Callithrix jacchus: one gene and its partners. Each later gene encodes a partner of the first gene's protein in a complex. Links are inferred from orthologs where the notes say so. Each region holds a gene or a part of one and is shown in the gene's direction. Other genes may lie near its edges.

Region 1 (5,093 bases):
AGTTTACTGCATACTTTAAGCCTGCTGTTGAAACCTGCTCAGAAAAAAATCTTTCAAAATATTACTGTTCGTCAATGATACACCCAGTCAGTCAAGAGCTCTGATGGAGATGTACAAGGAGATTAATGCTGTTTTCATGCCTGCTAACACATCCACCCTGCAACCCATGGGTTAAGGAGTAATTCAGCTTTTAGACTTTATTATTTAAGAAATACATTTCATAAGACTATAGCTGCCATAGGTAGCGATTTCTCTGATGGATCTGGGAAAGTAAATGAAAACCTTTTGGAAAGGATTCACCATTGTAGATGTATTTGTGGGCAGGGTACAGTGGCTTATACCTATAATCCCAGCACTTTGGGAGGCCAAGGCAGGCAGATTGCTAGAGCCCCAGGAGTTCGCGACCAGCCTGGGCAACATGGTGAAGGCGAGTTTCTGCAGAAAATACAAATATTAGCTGAGTGTGGTGGCACATGCCTGTATTATACTCAGCTATTTATGAGGCTGAGATTAGAGGATCACCTGAGCCTGGGGAGGTTGAGGCTGCAGTGAACCATGATCATGCCAGTGCATTCCTGCCTGGGCAACACAGTGAGATGCTGTCTGGGTGGGTTGGGGGAGATGAACATTAGCAATTGGCCGGGCATGGTGGTATGTGCCTGTAATTTCAGCTACTCAGTAGGCTGAGGCAGGAGTATTGCTTGAGCCCAGGAGGTTGAGGCTGCAGTGAGCCATGATCATACCACTGCACTCCAGCCTGGGTAATAGAGGGAGATTCTGTCTTAAAAGCAAAAATATTTGACTGCATATCAAGAGGTCCTCGGTTCAAATCCGGGTGCCCCCTAAAAATAAATAAATAAAATGAAATGAAAAAAAAAAAGAATATTTGGGGCCAGGCATGGTGGCTCACGCCTATAATCCCAGCACTTTGGGAGGCCAAGATGAGCAGATCACTTGAGCTCAGTAGTTTGAGACCAGGTTGGGCAACGTGGTGAAATCCCATCTCCACCAAAAATACAAAAAATTATCCGGGCATAGTGGCACACACCTGTGGTTTCAGCTATTTGGGAGGCTGAGGTGGGAAGGAGGATCACTTGAGCCTGAGAGGCAGAGGTTGCATTGAGCTGAGATGGCACCACTGCACTCCAGCCTGAATGAGAGTGAGATTCCAACTAAAAAACACAAAAAGCATTTGTGATTCATGGAAGGATGTCAAAATATCAACATTAAATGACAGGCGTATGGAAGACGTTGAATCCGGCCCTCATGGATGACTTTGAAAGGTTCAAGACTTTAGTGGGAGAAATATCACAGATGTGATGGAAACAGCAAGATAACTAGAAGTGGGCCCTGAAGATGTGACTGAACTGGTGTCACTCATGAGGAATTGCTTTATATAGACAAGCAAAGAAAGTGGTTTCTTGAGATTGAATTTGTTCCTGGTGAAGATGCTGTGAACATTGTTGAAATGCCAGCAAAGGATTTGGAATATTATTTAAGCCTAGTTGATAAAGCAGCAGCTGGGTTTGAGAGAACTGACTTCCGTTTCTAAAGAAGTTCCACTGTAGGTAAAATGCAATCAAACAGCATGCCGTGCTACAAGGGAAATCATTCATAAAAGGAAGAGTCAATTGATATGGCAAACTTCACTGTTACCTTGTTTTAAGAAATTAGCATAGCCATCCCATCCTTCAGCAACCAACACCCTGATCAGTCAGCAGCCATCAGCATCAAGGCAAGACCCTCCACCAGCAAAAAGATGGCATGCTGAAGGCTCAAGTGATTGTTAACATTTTTAGCAATAAAATATTTTTTAATTAAGGTATGTATGTTGGTTTTTAGACATAATGCTATCATTGCACACTTAATAGACAACAGAAGTATACTATAAACATAACCAAACAATCAAAAAATTTATGTGACTTTATTACGATACTTGCTTTATCGTGGTGTTCTGAAATGGAACCCACAGTATCTCTGAGGTATGCCTGTATGCGCTTTTAATTCTGAAGTCCAACATTATTTCTCCTTGCTTTCTGTCTTCCTGCCATGTCTTCTGTACTTTTAGAAACCGTGCACTTGTGCAGACATTGTTCTCAATATTTTGTTTCTTCAGATGCCATCATTAATGAGAAATATGACTACCTGAAGGGGTTCTTGGAAGACTTGGCACCTCCAGAGCGCAGCAGCCTAATTCAGGATTGGGAAACATCTGGACTTGTTTACCTGGACTACATTAGAGTCATTGACATGCTCCACCGTATACAGCAGGTACCTGAGATCCTGAAATTGCTGCCTGATTTTCCTTTTCTCAGGCCCTTCCATCTTTAGAGCCCTCACAAGGCCTTAGTATATACTTGAGAACGCATTGGCAGACATATTACTGTAAAAGCAGGCAGGACATCTTGCTGAGGCTCATTTGATATAACCATTTTGACAGCTGTATTGAAACTTAAAAATGCTTTTTTTTTTTTTTTTTTTTAAATATATAAGATGGGGTTTCACTATATTGGTCAGGCTGGTCTCTAACTCCCAACCTCAGATGATCTGCCCACCTTGGCCTCCCAGAGTTCTGGGATTACAGGTGTGAGCCACCGTGCCCAGCCCTAAAAACGCTTTTTTATGTTTATTAACAACTAGTATGTGCAATAGACATTCCTGAGGCTTGTCCATAGACAGTCCCTTTCCCTTGTTCAGCCCTAGTTTGAGTGAAAAACCCAAAGATGAGAGATTAAGAATGAAGATTCGATGAGGATCATTGTTTCACACATTATTTGGCATGTTTTAAAATAGCAAAATAGTTAATTTGGCAGGTTTTAAAGTTGCAAAATGGTTAAGTCTTTATTAAAATGTCTTGGGTCAGTTTTTTTTTGTTGTTTTTTTTTTTATTGAAACAGAGTCTTGCTCTGTCACCCAGGCTTAAGTGATTCTTACGCCTCAGCCTCCCAAGTAGCTGGGACTATAGTGGTGTGCCACCACACCCAGCTAATTTTTGTATTTTTAGTAGAAACAGTGTTTTACCACATTGGCCAAGCTGGTCTTGAACTCCTGGCCTCAAATCATCAGCCCGCCTTGGCCTCCCAAAGTGCTGGGTGTATGCATGAGCTACTGCACCCAGCCTTAAGGTCAGTCTTTGTAGTCATAAAATGGGTCTCCACCGCTTGCTTATGGTACAAAAACCAAACTCATTTTAATAAATATAGGATTTAAGTCCTTTTTGAGGCCTTTACCTTTCCAGCCTTACTCCTACCACTCATTTCACATTCCAGCCTTGCTGCCCTGCTGTACTCACACTAAATTACTTCTGGTGTTTCTAACAAACCATATTATGTTCCACACTTTACCTAGCACACTTAAACCCATCCTTTAACATCTAGGTTGCTGTTAGCCCTACTTCTCCCTCCTTTTCCCCCAGAGATAATTAATTGCACTTTCTTACTACCAAGATACTTAGTGCATTTTTCTACCGTCAGACCATGTTGTAGTTACTTGTTCACATTTCCAGGTTGCCATAAGCCCCTTATGGAGAAATCTTTTAAGGTTAGAGGCAGTAAAGTATAGGAATTAACAGCTCAAGTTCTAGAATTAGACTCATAATTTCAATTCATGGCTTCCAAATTCACTGGCTGTGCAATCTTGTGCAAGTTAACCACCCCCTTTGTCTCGTCTGAAAGAAAAAAGTGGGTGGGGTAGACAGTGGTACAGATTATAGCTCATATCTGATAGATTTTCACAAAGGTTAAACAAAATATACTCAAAGTGTTTAGCATAGTGCCTTTCATGTACTAAATACCTTTTTTTTTTTTTTAAGGCAGAGTTTTGCTCTGTCACCCAGGTTGGAGTGCAGTGGCATAATCTCAGCTGACTGCATCTTCCATTTTCCATCTCCCAGCTTCAAACAATTCTCCTGCCTCAGCCTCCCCAGTAGCTGGGATTACAGGTGTGTGCCACCACACCCAACTAATTTTTATTTTTAGTAGAGACGGGGTTTCACCATGTTGGCCAGAGTGGTCTCAAACTCCTGACCTCAAATGATCCACCCACCTTGGCCTCTACTAAATGCTTGATAATTGTTATTTATTATTATCCTCATCAAAGTTTCAACTCCTAGTATAGTGCCTGGCACATAATGGGCATAATTCAATGTTTGCTGTACTTTTAGTATGAATTAAGAGCATCATTTCTGAATAATCACTTGAAGAAACCACTTTCTCATTGAATATTGAATGATTCATTCACACAACCTATTACTGAGAACCCACTGTGCCAGGCACTCTAGTGGGTTTGGGGAATGTAAAAGTAAACAGTATGTGTTCTGCCCTTACCAACGTGAAGATTTGGTGGGGGAGATACAAGTAAAGCAACAATTACTGTAGCATGATAAGTGTAGCATTAAACAAAGAGTACTGTCAGTATGCCAGCGCATAGCTGGATGTGGTGGTGCATGCCTGTAATACTAGCACTTTGGGAGGCTGAGGTAGGATTGCTTGAGACCAGCCCGTACAGCATAGTGAGACCTCCCTTCTCCAAAAAATAAAAAAAAGATATCTTGTTACATAAAACCTCTCTAGTATTATCTTATTCTACTTCTCTTCCTTACCCCACATGTTACCATGTAAATCTCCTTTGAATTCCCACCTTTTGGGGTTTTAGCTGTTCTCTTTTAGCAGGTCTCAACTTAAATATGACCTCCTTAAAGAAGCGTCTCTTATCCTTCAGTCTCAAGTAGCCATCCAGTTTCTCTCTGCCACATCCACCTGTTTAAATTATCTGCATGGCTTGTGATTTTTCAGGATTTATTACTGTTTCATGTTTTATTGTTTATTTTCTTTTATTTTTGAGACGGAGTTTCGCTCTTGTTACCCAGGCTGGAGTGCAATGGCGTGATCTCAGCTCACCGCAACCTCTGCCTCCTGGGTTCAGGGAGTTCTCCTGCCTCAGCCTCCTGAGTAGCTGGGATTACAGGCACGCGCCACCATGACCAGCTAATTTTTTGTATTTTTAGTAGAGACGGCGTTTCACCATGTTGACCAGGATGGTCTCAATCTCTTGACCTCGTGATCCACCCGCCTCGGCCTCCCAAAGTGCTGGGA
Region 2 (5,811 bases), on another chromosome or scaffold:
TATCACATTGAGGTTTGAAAGTATCCCATCAGGCAGACAGTACTGGTCTCACTCGACAAATGAGAAGCAGACTCAGAGAGGTTAAGCAACTTGTCCAAGGTCACACAGGCTGCACACAACCTGGGCAGAACTTGTTTGTCCCTTGTACTGTCAGGCTTCCAATCTGCAGGCTGATGGATGGGGAAGCAAGGTGTGGAGGGACATTAAGCTAGAAGGGTTAGCAGGGGCAAAACTGGGCAGAGGGATCACATGCCAGGCTAAGGAGCCCTTTACAGTACAGGCTCTGAAGGTTTAAGAGCTGGGAGCTGCCCTGACCAGAGCTGTTTACTATGAAGATGAGCCTGGCAGAGCAGGGGGGACTAGATAGGTGAGAGGTAGGAAACAGGAGACTACTCATCTGTTGTCTGACCAAGATTTACTGAGCACCTGATATGTTCCCCTCTCTGTTCCAGATCCTGGAGTACCAGTAGTGAATACCACAAAGATGCCTGCCCTCAGACAGCCTGCTTTCTAGTGGAGGGAGAACAGAGAACAAAATAAATAAGCAAAATATACAGTAGGTCAGAAGGTGGTAAGTACTATTGGAAAAAAAGTAGAGCAAGGTGAGTGGCTTGTTTGTACCGGGGACTGCTTAAGAGGAGGCAGGCAGAGGGAACAACTGGGACAAAAATGAGAGGCAGGAGTGTGGCTGGCACATGAGGTTCAACGACAAAGCCAGTATTGTGGGGCTGGAGTGAGCCTGAGGAGAGAAGAGTAATAGGCTTTGCAGAGGGCATGGTGAGAACTCTGGCTCGGACTACTTGGGAGGCTGATGATGAATCTGTTCACTGCTGAAGAAGGAAGAGGGCAAAGGGCAGAAGCTCCATTTAAAAGGTTCTAATAAGCCTCGGGCCTTTCTCTGCCTGAGAAACTTACTCTCTGCCCTCTGCCTCCCTAGATTACTGCCCCAATGCCTGGAGGAAAGACAGGTGAAGGCCGAAAGCCACGGGAATAGCGAAAGTGGGCAAATTGGACCTCCAGCTCCCTTTCTGCAGGTCTATCTCAGTCCACAGCCCTTGCACATGCTCCCTTTGAATTCTCCAAGCATACCAGTAACTTCCAAAACTCTTGGGACTTTGCTTATGAGGGCATCTCGGCCTGGAATGCTCCTCCTTATCTGTCTTGAGTGGGTGTCAAAAAGAGTATATTTTGATGACCTCTCCCGGCCCCTCATGCTCGCTCACATCCCCCTCACTCCTTTCAAAGTCCGTTCCCAAAGCCCCCAGTTCACCGTCCTGGGCTGCTTTTAGCCACGTGAGACCTAAAGTGATCCCCTCTTGGAACCTGATCTGGGGCCTATACTTCTGGGGCAGTCTGGGAGTGCTCTCGAAGGGCCACCCTCAAAGAGCGAACCTCGGCTGGATTCAGTTCCTAGGTACCAGCAGTCCGACCTCTGCAACGACGCTCAGCACACCCCTTCCCCTCTCTGGGTCTCAGCTGCCCCGTGAGTACAGCCCCTGCTCCAACACGCAAGGTCAGTAGCATCTGGGGGCTCTGATGCACTCGGTCCCTAACTCAGCCTGAGGTCAGCCCAGAAAGCACCCGACCCGGGAGGCCCCGCAGCTCTTCACTCTCCCGCCCTGCCCAGTCGCTGACACAAGGTGACTTCCAAGGGCAAGACCACGACTCTTACCCGTCTGTAGGCGCCCCCCTGGCTGGCCTCAGCTCGCAAGCAGGCTGCACCCACCGAACTCTAGCCTCAGACCGCCACCCTTTACTACCCTCCCGCGTGAGACGAGAATCAGCCGAGCTTCCTCCACCAAGAGGATTGGCCCAGCTCAGCGTTGGCTAAGCCAATTGGCGCTCGCGGCGTGATCTTGCCCAGTTATGACTGGCCTGTGTCGCCAGCGTGCCCCTCCCCGCGCTGGTCCAGGGCTTTGCCAGGTTAATTCCACCCACTTCGGCCCTGAACCAATGGAGAGCGGCGAGGGCCAGAAGACGGCCAATGGAGAGCGGGGCTGCGCGCAGGGGGCGGTGGGAACGGGGCCGAGTCAGTGTATACTGCGGTTGCCTAACAACCGGCAGCGGAGTCCTTTGGCTATGGTGAGTGCTGGCCGCTCCGTCGCGCCCCACGCCCAGAGGTTGAGCCCTTCCCAAGCCCCGGCTGTGCCACGCCGCCTCTCCTGCGCCTTTCTCGGCTTTGGCGTACAGTCCTTCCTTTGAGCTCTTTCCCGGAAGGGTAGGGTACAGGCGCTAACCAACCTACTGGGCCTGCGCTTCGCTACTGCCTCCCCTTCACCCACGACAGGCCCACACCCGCCCCTCAGGCTCCCCTGGCGTTCCCTGGTCCCCTCGGTGACCCTCCCTGGGCAAAAAAGACTCGAATCCCTCACAGACCCCTGACTCTCTCAGACCTTGGCCTCCTGGCCGCCTCATTCTGCCAAAGTTTCCCCACAGAACTGGGAGAAGGTGTATTGTTTTCTTTGAAAATGTTTTCTACAATATAAATATAGGGGCATTAAGGGGATGCTTTAGCTTCTTGGAGAAGGCACGAAGGTGCCAGATGGATTGAGTTTTATTATTAGATACTGACACGATATACATCTTAACTTCCTAATATTTGGGCAAATCTAGAAGTAATTGGGAAGTCAGAGTACTTACTAGGAAGCGGAGTACTGGCAGTGGGCATTTTAAGGCTGTTTCCAGAACCAGGTTCCCCACATTCGGGAAGAGCTGATTATCTCTAGTTGTTCACAGTCAGTTTCTTGACTAGCTCTCTTTTGGGATGATTTTCAATAAGAGATATCCTTACTGAACAAATGATCTCCCTGCATCTAGAAACAATAGTAAACCCTGTGATATTTCTTGTTAAGCAAAGCTTTGGAATTGGTTATAAATGACTTTAAAAATACATATAGGTGTCTGTAACTATGTTATGTAAATATGGACTGTATTATATATTATTGTGCTTATGTATTTGCATAACATATAAAGGCCTCCAGCTTTAAGAAGGCAAACATGGCGTCAAGTGCCCAGCGAAAAAGAATGAGTCCTAAGCCTGAGCTTACAGAAGAGCAGAAGCAGGAGATCCGGGAAGCGTTTGATCTTTTTGATGCAGATGGAACTGGCAGCATAGATGTTAAGGAACTTAAGGCAAGCTCTATGCATTCCTGCCGTTTGCCCTGCCTTTCCTCTCCCTCTTCCTTGTCATCTCTTTATCACCTCTCTACCCCTTTTGCCCTCTTCTCCCTGCAGTAAGTAACAGGGGAGGTTGTACTGTGCTCTGTTTTCCTGTCTTTACTTACCTTGAGTATTATCAGATGGATTGCAGATATCAATTAGATCTGTGTTAAAGTGTTCCCGAATCATATTAACATGATCACATCAGATACGGACTTAATGCTCTCAACACTGTTATTTTTGCTTCTTATAGTTTAGATGTGTATATTGAGACAATCCTGTTTTCATTGTAGGTGGCAATGAGGGCCCTGGGCTTTGAACCCAAGAAAGAAGAAATTAAGAAAATGATAAGTGAAATTGATAAGGAAGGGACAGGAAAAATGAACTTTGGTGACTTTTTAACTGTGATGACCCAGAAAATGGTAAGTAGTTAAGACAATTGGCATGGTACAGAGCCCCAGTCATCTGCAGAGGCCCATGGCATCTGCCTGTTAAAACAGTCATGTGAGCACACAGCAGTTCAGGCCTGCCCTCCCGTCATGTTACCTTGTGCTTCTCTCTCAAGACTTCCAAGCAGATACCTCATCCCACAGAATTCCAAACCAGTTAAGAAACAGATGTGGGATAGGGAGCAAATGTCACCTTGGATGGAGTGCCTGGCTTGCCTGGTGTTTCTCTGAGGCCAAAATGGGCTTCCTGACACTGGCTGCAAGTCTAGACTCGAGTTATTGTTAAAAAGGAGAGGGTGACTGGGCAGCGGCAGGGCTACAGGACACAAGTAACCGTGGTGTCTCCCTACTCATGTGTTTTATGTTCTACTTGTTAAGTCTGAGAAAGATACCAAAGAAGAAATCCTGAAAGCTTTCAAGCTCTTCGATGATGATGAAACTGGGAAGATTTCGTTCAAAAATCTGAAACGCGTGGCCAAGGAGTTGGGTGAGAACCTGACTGATGAGGAGCTGCAGGTTTGTAATGCCTCACACTGGAACTTCAGATTCCCACCTTTCAGCCTTCTGTGCCTTTTCTGTTACATTTTTCCTCGTGTGAGCATCTCTTTGAAGGAAAGCCAGTGGACTCTTGTCCCTTTAATAGTCAGACAAACCTATGAGCCCTGCTTCTAGAAAAATGCACAGGTGCACAATCTTACTTACTATTTTGGGTTCCAGGAATCCCTCTAGTCAAGGCAGTCTTCAAGCTCCCTCCCAGGTGATATGTTTCACAAAATATGACTTGGTTTTCAAATAACTATTCAGGAACCAGGCTATTATCAGGAGTAGCATACTGGCATTGGGTGGACTACGATGATCTTTTCACATAGCTTTATTAAAGTCTATTGCTTCCCAGGCACAGTGGCTCATGCCTATAATCCCAGTACTTTGGGAGGCTGAGTTAGGAGGATCACTTGAAGCCAGGAATTTGGCACTAGTGTGGGCAGCATAGAGACCCTGACTGTAAAAAAAGTCTATTCCTTAATCACCTTTTTGAATTAGTTTATAAATTAAGCTAACCTGAATATTTACTGTCATATAGGAAATGATTGATGAAGCTGATCGAGATGGAGATGGAGAGGTCAGTGAGCAAGAGTTCCTGCGCATCATGAAAAAGACCAGCCTTTATTGAGATCAGTGTCTTCTTTTCTACTGCAAGCACATGTAACTAGATTTAGTGCCTGCAATTGTGTGAAATCTGGCTTTTGAGAACACAAATGTTTCCCTCACTGACCTCCCTGTATCACTTTAATAATGACCTTGAACCTATTTTAGCCTTTTGGAAGTGTTCTTTTATATGACAGTTCTTTGTAAAATGACCTGCTAATTATTCTAATTCTCAAAAGCAAAACAAGAGCACATTAGCGTGAAGAAAAGGATCTTAAGGCTTCGAGCACCTGCCATTTTGCCTTGCATCGTTTCCACATATCCACAAACACAGAACGACTTCTTAGACAAGCACATGTGGTACCTGTGTCACCATACGCAGCAGTCATTTTTCAGTGGTTCCAGTTTTCTCTTTATACAACCCAGTGAACTCTCGCACTGGCATTTGGATGTGTGTTAATGCTATTTGTTTTAACTTAAAAATAAAACCTTTCTCAGTTTGACCTTGTGTTCTCTAGAGATGAGTTTTTTAGCTTTGTGAGTTCATCTTCTCAACTATTGTGTTGAAGGCAGCCTGTTTTATACAAAACTCCTTACCAGCCTGTGGACAGAAAATGAATACTCCTTTGCTACTCTCCTGGCATGAATTGCTTTTTGCCTTGGGAACCTGCTGGTTTGTAAAACTAGCAGAATTTTTATGTCATGTAAACCTAAATGATGCTCTAAAAATAGTTTTGGCAAAGTGCAAGACTGGAAAAGAGTCTTGTTAGTAATTTGTGCTTGAATGAAATGGGGAGAGCCAGGCTAATCCAACACTAGGATGGATTCAGCCAACCTGTCATGAATCTACGTGCTTAGGGTATCTCGCAGACTCTTGGAGGTAGATTGGGCTGAGTGACCCTGTCCAGCCATCTTCCTGGACTTGCATGGGATTACCTGTGAGAGAAATCCTGGTAGATGACATCAAAGTGTCTGCTCCAGGGTGGGAGTGGGGGCAGATAGAAGGGGTGAGGGAGAATAGAAAATGAACAATCATGGCAAGCTCATTTGTTCACAT
Region 3 (5,758 bases), on another chromosome or scaffold:
CCACATTTTGCTTTCTATAAGAACAAGCGTACTTTTTGTACAGGAAAATTAGGAGGTTGGGAGAATGAGACCACACCAGGGCATAATTCTTCAAAAAGGTTATTGAAGGAGTAAAGTAACATTTCGATGACCTGCTATGTACAGTGTATATTTGATGTCTCTCTCTCATGCCCACTCCCCTACTTTTTAAAAAATATTTGTGATGGTGCAGTGGTTCACGCCTGTAATTCCAGCACTTTGGGAGACCAAGGCAGGTGGATCACATGATGTCAGGAGTTTGAGACCAGCCTGATCCATATGGAGAAACCCCATCTCTACTAAAAATGCAAAAAATTAGCCCGGCATGGTGGTGCATTCCAGTAATCCCAGTTATTTAAGAAGCTGAAGCAGAATTGTTTAAACCTGGGAGGCAGAGGTTGCAGTGAGCCAATCTCATGTCACTGCACTCCATCCTGGGTGATAAAGCGAGACCCTGCCTCAAAAAAAAAAAAAAAAAATATATATATATATATATATATATATTGCAGAAACAGGGTCTCATGTTGTTGCCCAGGCTGGTCTCAAACTCTTGGGCCCAAGCCATCCCTCCCACCTGGACCTCCCAAAGTGCTGGGATTACAGGGGTAGCCACCGCACCCGACAGTGCTTAGCTTTTTCATAGATGTAGCTTTTTCCTTGCTTGCAGACTTCGCAGTGAGCCGAGATCACGCCACGGCCCTCCAGCCTGGACTAGAGCGAGACATAATCTCAAAAAGAAAAGAAAAAAAAGCTCAGCACTGTCACCAGGAATATATGGCAAGAAAAGCTGGCAATTTCTACATATCTGTGAAACCCAAAATGTCATTTGCAATAAGGATCAAATGTATCAATAGTGTAAGCCCAAAAGTCTGTGGCAACTTCTTCACTTTCCCCAGATTGTCAATGGCACCTTTGTTAAACTCAACAAGGTTTCGGTTAACAATGTTGAGGATTGCAGAACCACCTATTGCATGGGGCACCTGAACCTGAAATCAACAAATAAACTGATATACCTACTGGTTATAGTAAAACCAATAAACAAATTACCTTAACAGAGATAACTCTTTAATTGCTAGATCTCTTGATAAATATGGCATCATCTGACTGGAGAATCTGATTCGAGAGCTCTATGTTGTTGAAAAATTCTTCAAGTTCCCGTGATCCTTCAAATTATCTTCTCCACGAGGTAGAATGAAGGACTACCTATTTTGTATTAATGAAAGGTATAAATGCCAGCAACAGAAAAGACCATATCAACAGGCTTATTAAATGGATAAACTGAGGTGTCTAATATTATTTTTGTAATCTTATCAGTTAATAACCAGTCACTACTTTCAAATATGAAAAAAAACAAAAATGTGACTCCTTCAAGACCAAAATATAACCACTATTTGCCTACACGGCACTTTGAATAGAGGGCAATACCATCATATTTTACGCTTGCCTTTCTACTTTTTAATACGGGTGAACTTTTTTTCCTCCATAGCAAAAAATACCAAGTAAAGAACAAATAGCAGTTATGGAAAATACTTTCAAAAACTGTATGAAGCTACAGCACAAAGGACTGAGCGTAGGGAGAGAAACAGAAATTTCTCGAGGCAGAGCCCACATATCTGAATTCCAACAACAGGCGCTTTCTGAGAGAATACCAGGTAATGACTTCACATTTTTCCAGACTATCAACATAATTCGTTTTTCCCAGTAGGAGAACCCAACGCCTGTTCCACGCCCACAGACATCGGTCAGGCAAAGCGGCCGCAACGCTTCCGGGCTAAACGCGACTAGGTCCCGCCCCCGGTCCTGTCTGGTCCAGCCAGGCACAAGTTGGCAAACTTTGCGCCTGCGCCCACCGGGCTAGCTCATGTAGGCTCAAGTCGCGCATGCGCTAGGTGGGAACGTTGTTTCTTCTCCCCTGCGCTTTTTCTGTGGGGCTGTTTTAGGGAGAGTGCTTCCAGGTCGAAAGGCTTGCTTCCGGAGAGCGGGAAGGCTAAAACGCGGTAACTAAACTGGAGCCAACCTTGGTTCTGTATGGAAAAGGCTTTAGCCATGGACAGGTCAGTTCTGATCGTGGGAGCTGAGCCCGAAGTCTTGTCCCTCTCGCCTGCTGGCGAAACGAAATAGGTGAAACTAGACTCCCAGAAAAAGCCAAGGAGGAGGTCCCGGGTGCTTCCCCTAAGACTCCTTCCCCAGGCCAGGAAATTTGGCTACAAATGCGGAAAAGGTCGCTTGGCTTGCGTCGGGGTGGGATACGGATTATGATGGTTCCCTACATTCTCACTGTGTTCTGCGATCTATTCGGCGCTTTGGGGCAGCAACACTATTCTTTCCTGAGGTGGGCGGGGTAGGTAGCCCGGCGTTCTACATGCTGAGTGACCAGCCTGAGATCACAAAGCCAGTCAATGAAGATACTGGGATCTCAGCCCAGACTTTCTGATCACAAGTGCCAGCATCAAATACTGGGTTCCTTCTATAATCTGGGTATTATGCTAGCCGGCTGCAACAAAGATCAGTTATTCAAGATCCTTCACCTCGGGGAATTGGTTGTGTAGTGGAGACAACCAAGCATATAAAGTGATAAGTGTTTTGGAACGATTAAGTCTCCCTGTCACTATATAACTATCAGGAAGACCTCTCGAAGAAGGTAACTTTCTAGTTGGTGTTTGAGTAATAATAGTACATTATTGGTACTCCAAACCTTGAGTACTGCTATGTGACTGCATTGTTCCAAAGGATTTGAATATATATTATTAGCTTGTTTAATCTTCAGAACAAGAAAAATTCTATGAAAATATGTGCTGTTATCCTTTTTTCATAGATACCACTGAGACTAAAAGAGGTTAAGGAACTTGCTGAAAGTTAGAAGGCTAGTAGTAAATACAAGGACCAAATTCCCAACCTGCATCTGTGTGTCTCCAGGCTACCTGGGGCTCTTTGAGGAGTAAGTAGTTGTTGACCAGGTGCTCAAGGGAGCCACTGTAGGTCGTTTTAAAAGAAACTTATTCAAAGGTGTTAGGATATAGAAAAAAGTACGTGCTTTGTCGGCAGTCACATGCAGAATATGTTTAAAGCGATATTTGTGGCTGAATATAAGACTGAACCTCTAAACTGGGGTCACATTGTAAATAGCTTTTTAGGGAATTTGTACTTCTATAGACTAGAGAGAGATATCTGAAGTTTTTTTTGTTGTTGTTTTTTAATTAAACCTTTTAAATTTTGTTTTGGTTATTGTTTTCCATACTTTCTTGCTGAAGGAATATCTGAAGGTTTTAAGTGGAGGAAAAGCATATCAGATTCTTGCCTTAAACATAGGCCTTTTCATCCACACAATTTCGTTTCTAGACCTTTGAGTGAAAATGACAGGGAGTGATGTGATGGGACAGGAGACATCCTGGGTTGAAATAATTTGAAGGATCATTCTGCTCCATTTACCAGAATTCTTTTATTTACCCTCTTATCTCACAAGCTCTGTTTTGTGTTGTTGTTTGTTTTTCAGTGGTACCTGTGTTTTAAAGCATTTTGGAGACTGCAGAAAATCTTTTAAGAGAGAATTCCTGTAATTAGATAACTCCTCAATCCAACAAGGGAAATGAGATTGACTTTTATGAAGCAGTTATCTAAAACAGTGTTATAGATTCCAAGTGTTGAAATAATTCCTTAGGAGAAAATAACATAGTGAGTACTAGAAAGTCAGAGAAGTCTTTGTGCAGGTAAGATTTGAGTAAGGCTTTGAAGAATAAGCAGGATTTGGAGCCAGGAGTGCATTCTCAGCAAAAGATCTAAGACTTGGCTATTGGAATGACCTATACCACAACTTACTCAGAGCCCTTTACTCCAGCTGTGATGATAAAATTCTTTTACAAATACTACATTCTCATTTCACTTATGTAAGCTTGATTATACTACTTTAGGAGTGGCTTTGGAGATATATCATCCCCTGTTATCCGGGAGGCAGAGGTGACACGGACTGCACGGAAACAGAGTGCTCAAAAAAGAGTTTTAAGTATCCTTTGCGATTTAAGCATCATTATAAAAATTGTAACATGCTTGGAATCGGTGTTGTAGAATTTTCTTTTATGAGAGTATTAAATGTTAGCTGTAATAAAATCCTGTAGAAATTTTTTTTCACTCTGCGGAACTGTCATTTGGTAAATATAATGCTAAAATTTAATGAGATTATGTTTCCCTAAGAATAAAGATATTTCATTTTACTACTGACTATCATATTGTGGTTAGCTTCTGCTGAAATTAGATTTTTTTATTATTTGAAAACTGACTAAAAACATTTAGTTCAGTAGTTATCTAAGACTGACATCTGAGAATTTAAATGGCAGAAGGAATCATTTACCCTTTGCATAGAAAAATAGTAGCCATAAAATACCTTATTCTTGGTAAATGTATTCACATAATTTGTATAGTAAAAATATTGTTAGTTCTCACTTTAATGATCTCTTTTCTACGTGGAAAACTTTTCTTAACTCATTGTACAGTTCAGTCATCTCAAGATGAAAATTTTGGTAATACTACACCAAGAAACCAGGTTATTCCTCGAACTCCTAGCTCATTTCGACAGCCTTGTAAGACTTTTTTGCTTTTAAAGCACTTAATAATAATGATAATTATAATAGCAGCTAACATTTATTGTAGAACAATTAGTATTTGGTTACTATATCAATAATTAAGCACAAATAATAATGATTGCAGTTATTTGTTGAACTCTTGCCATGTACAAAGTACTGTATTTTACATAAACACACAGTAACTATGACATAGGTATTGTTAATTCTATTTTACCAAAACTGAAAGCAAGACTTAGAGAAGTTATAATATAGGCAATAAGTATGTAAATAAGCTGGATACAGTGGCTCACGCCTGTAATCTCAACACTTTGGGAGGCTGAGGTGGGCAGATCACTTGAGGCTAGGAGTTCGAGATCAGCTTGGCCAACATGGTGAAACTCCATCTCTACTAAGAATACAAAAATTAGCTGGCGTAGTGGGTCATGCTTGTAATCCCAGCTACTCAGGAGGCTGAGGCAGGAGAATTGCCTGAACCAAGGAGGTAGAGGTTGCAGTGAGCTGCGATTGTGCCACTGTACTCCAGCCAGGGCGAAAGAGTAAGACTCTGTAAAGTATGTAAATAATGGAATTGGGATTCAAACAATGATCTGTTTACTCCAAAGTTTATGCCCACTGCAATTCACTGCCTCGGTAAGCCTTATAAAATTAAAACATGAAGAGTCCATTGACTCATTAGTGTTTTTAACTGCTCAGTTATGCTATAATGAAAGCATCCATAATTGCAGTAAGATTTTTCCTGATAGGCTCAGTAGTACCTAGAACTCAAATTTAGAAAAATAACTTAAATCCTTGTATTGTGAAAATGTTAACATTTAAAGTATTTATCTGGTTAGAGTCTAAATGATGGAAAACGGAAAAATTTATTTTTCCTTGTTTGTTTGCTTACTTTGTTTTGATAATGAATGCTCATGCACCTTAAGTTTTTTTCTACCAACCTTTTGTTTGTAGTTACCCCAGCATACCGAAGCTTACTAAGACAGCCGGATATTTCCTGCATTCTTGGAACAGGAGGGAAGTCGCCTCGACTCACGCAATCTTCAGGGATCTTGGGAAATCTCTCCATGGTATGTAGAAAAATAGGGCTAAGAACTTCTCCTTTTGTGTCGAGTGTGGTGGCTCACACCTCTAATTTCAGCACTCTTTAAACTCCTGACCTGAAGTGA

Evidence for each region. The genes of interacting proteins can lie anywhere in the genome.
Region 2: NUP98 (region 1) and CETN2 share a complex: the UniProt entries of both Homo sapiens proteins name them as parts of the nuclear pore complex. The link is inferred for Callithrix jacchus from reciprocal best matches to the Homo sapiens genes NUP98 and CETN2.
Region 3: NUP98 (region 1) and NUP107 share a complex: the UniProt entries of both Homo sapiens proteins name them as parts of the nuclear pore complex. The link is inferred for Callithrix jacchus from reciprocal best matches to the Homo sapiens genes NUP98 and NUP107.

Annotation. Positions count from the first base shown.
Region 1 is NC_133511.1:69,110,966-69,116,058, reverse strand, and holds part of NUP98 (nuclear pore complex protein Nup98-Nup96), read left to right. Parts: intron 1-2,116; coding exon 2,117-2,271; intron 2,272-5,093. UniProt on the Homo sapiens protein: Plays a role in the nuclear pore complex (NPC) assembly and/or maintenance. NUP98 and NUP96 are involved in the bidirectional transport across the NPC. May anchor NUP153 and TPR to the NPC.
Region 2 is NC_133524.1:148,959,102-148,964,912, reverse strand, and holds CETN2 (centrin-2), read left to right. Parts: upstream 1-2,032; 5' UTR 2,033-2,079; coding exon 2,080-2,082; exon of another isoform or gene 2,083-2,218; intron 2,219-2,973; coding exon 2,974-3,132; intron 3,133-3,452; coding exon 3,453-3,581; intron 3,582-3,986; coding exon 3,987-4,124; intron 4,125-4,689; coding exon 4,690-4,779; 3' UTR 4,780-5,257; downstream 5,258-5,811. UniProt on the Homo sapiens protein: Plays a fundamental role in microtubule organizing center structure and function. Required for centriole duplication and correct spindle formation. Has a role in regulating cytokinesis and genome stability via cooperation with CALM1 and CCP110.
Region 3 is NC_133510.1:50,460,752-50,466,509, reverse strand, and holds the start of NUP107 (nuclear pore complex protein Nup107), read left to right. Parts: upstream 1-1,979; 5' UTR 1,980-2,046; coding exon 2,047-2,072; exon of another isoform or gene 2,073-2,659; intron 2,660-3,926; coding exon 3,927-4,018; intron 4,019-4,505; coding exon 4,506-4,592; intron 4,593-5,543; coding exon 5,544-5,659; intron 5,660-5,758. UniProt on the Homo sapiens protein: Plays a role in the nuclear pore complex (NPC) assembly and/or maintenance. Required for the assembly of peripheral proteins into the NPC. May anchor NUP62 to the NPC. Involved in nephrogenesis.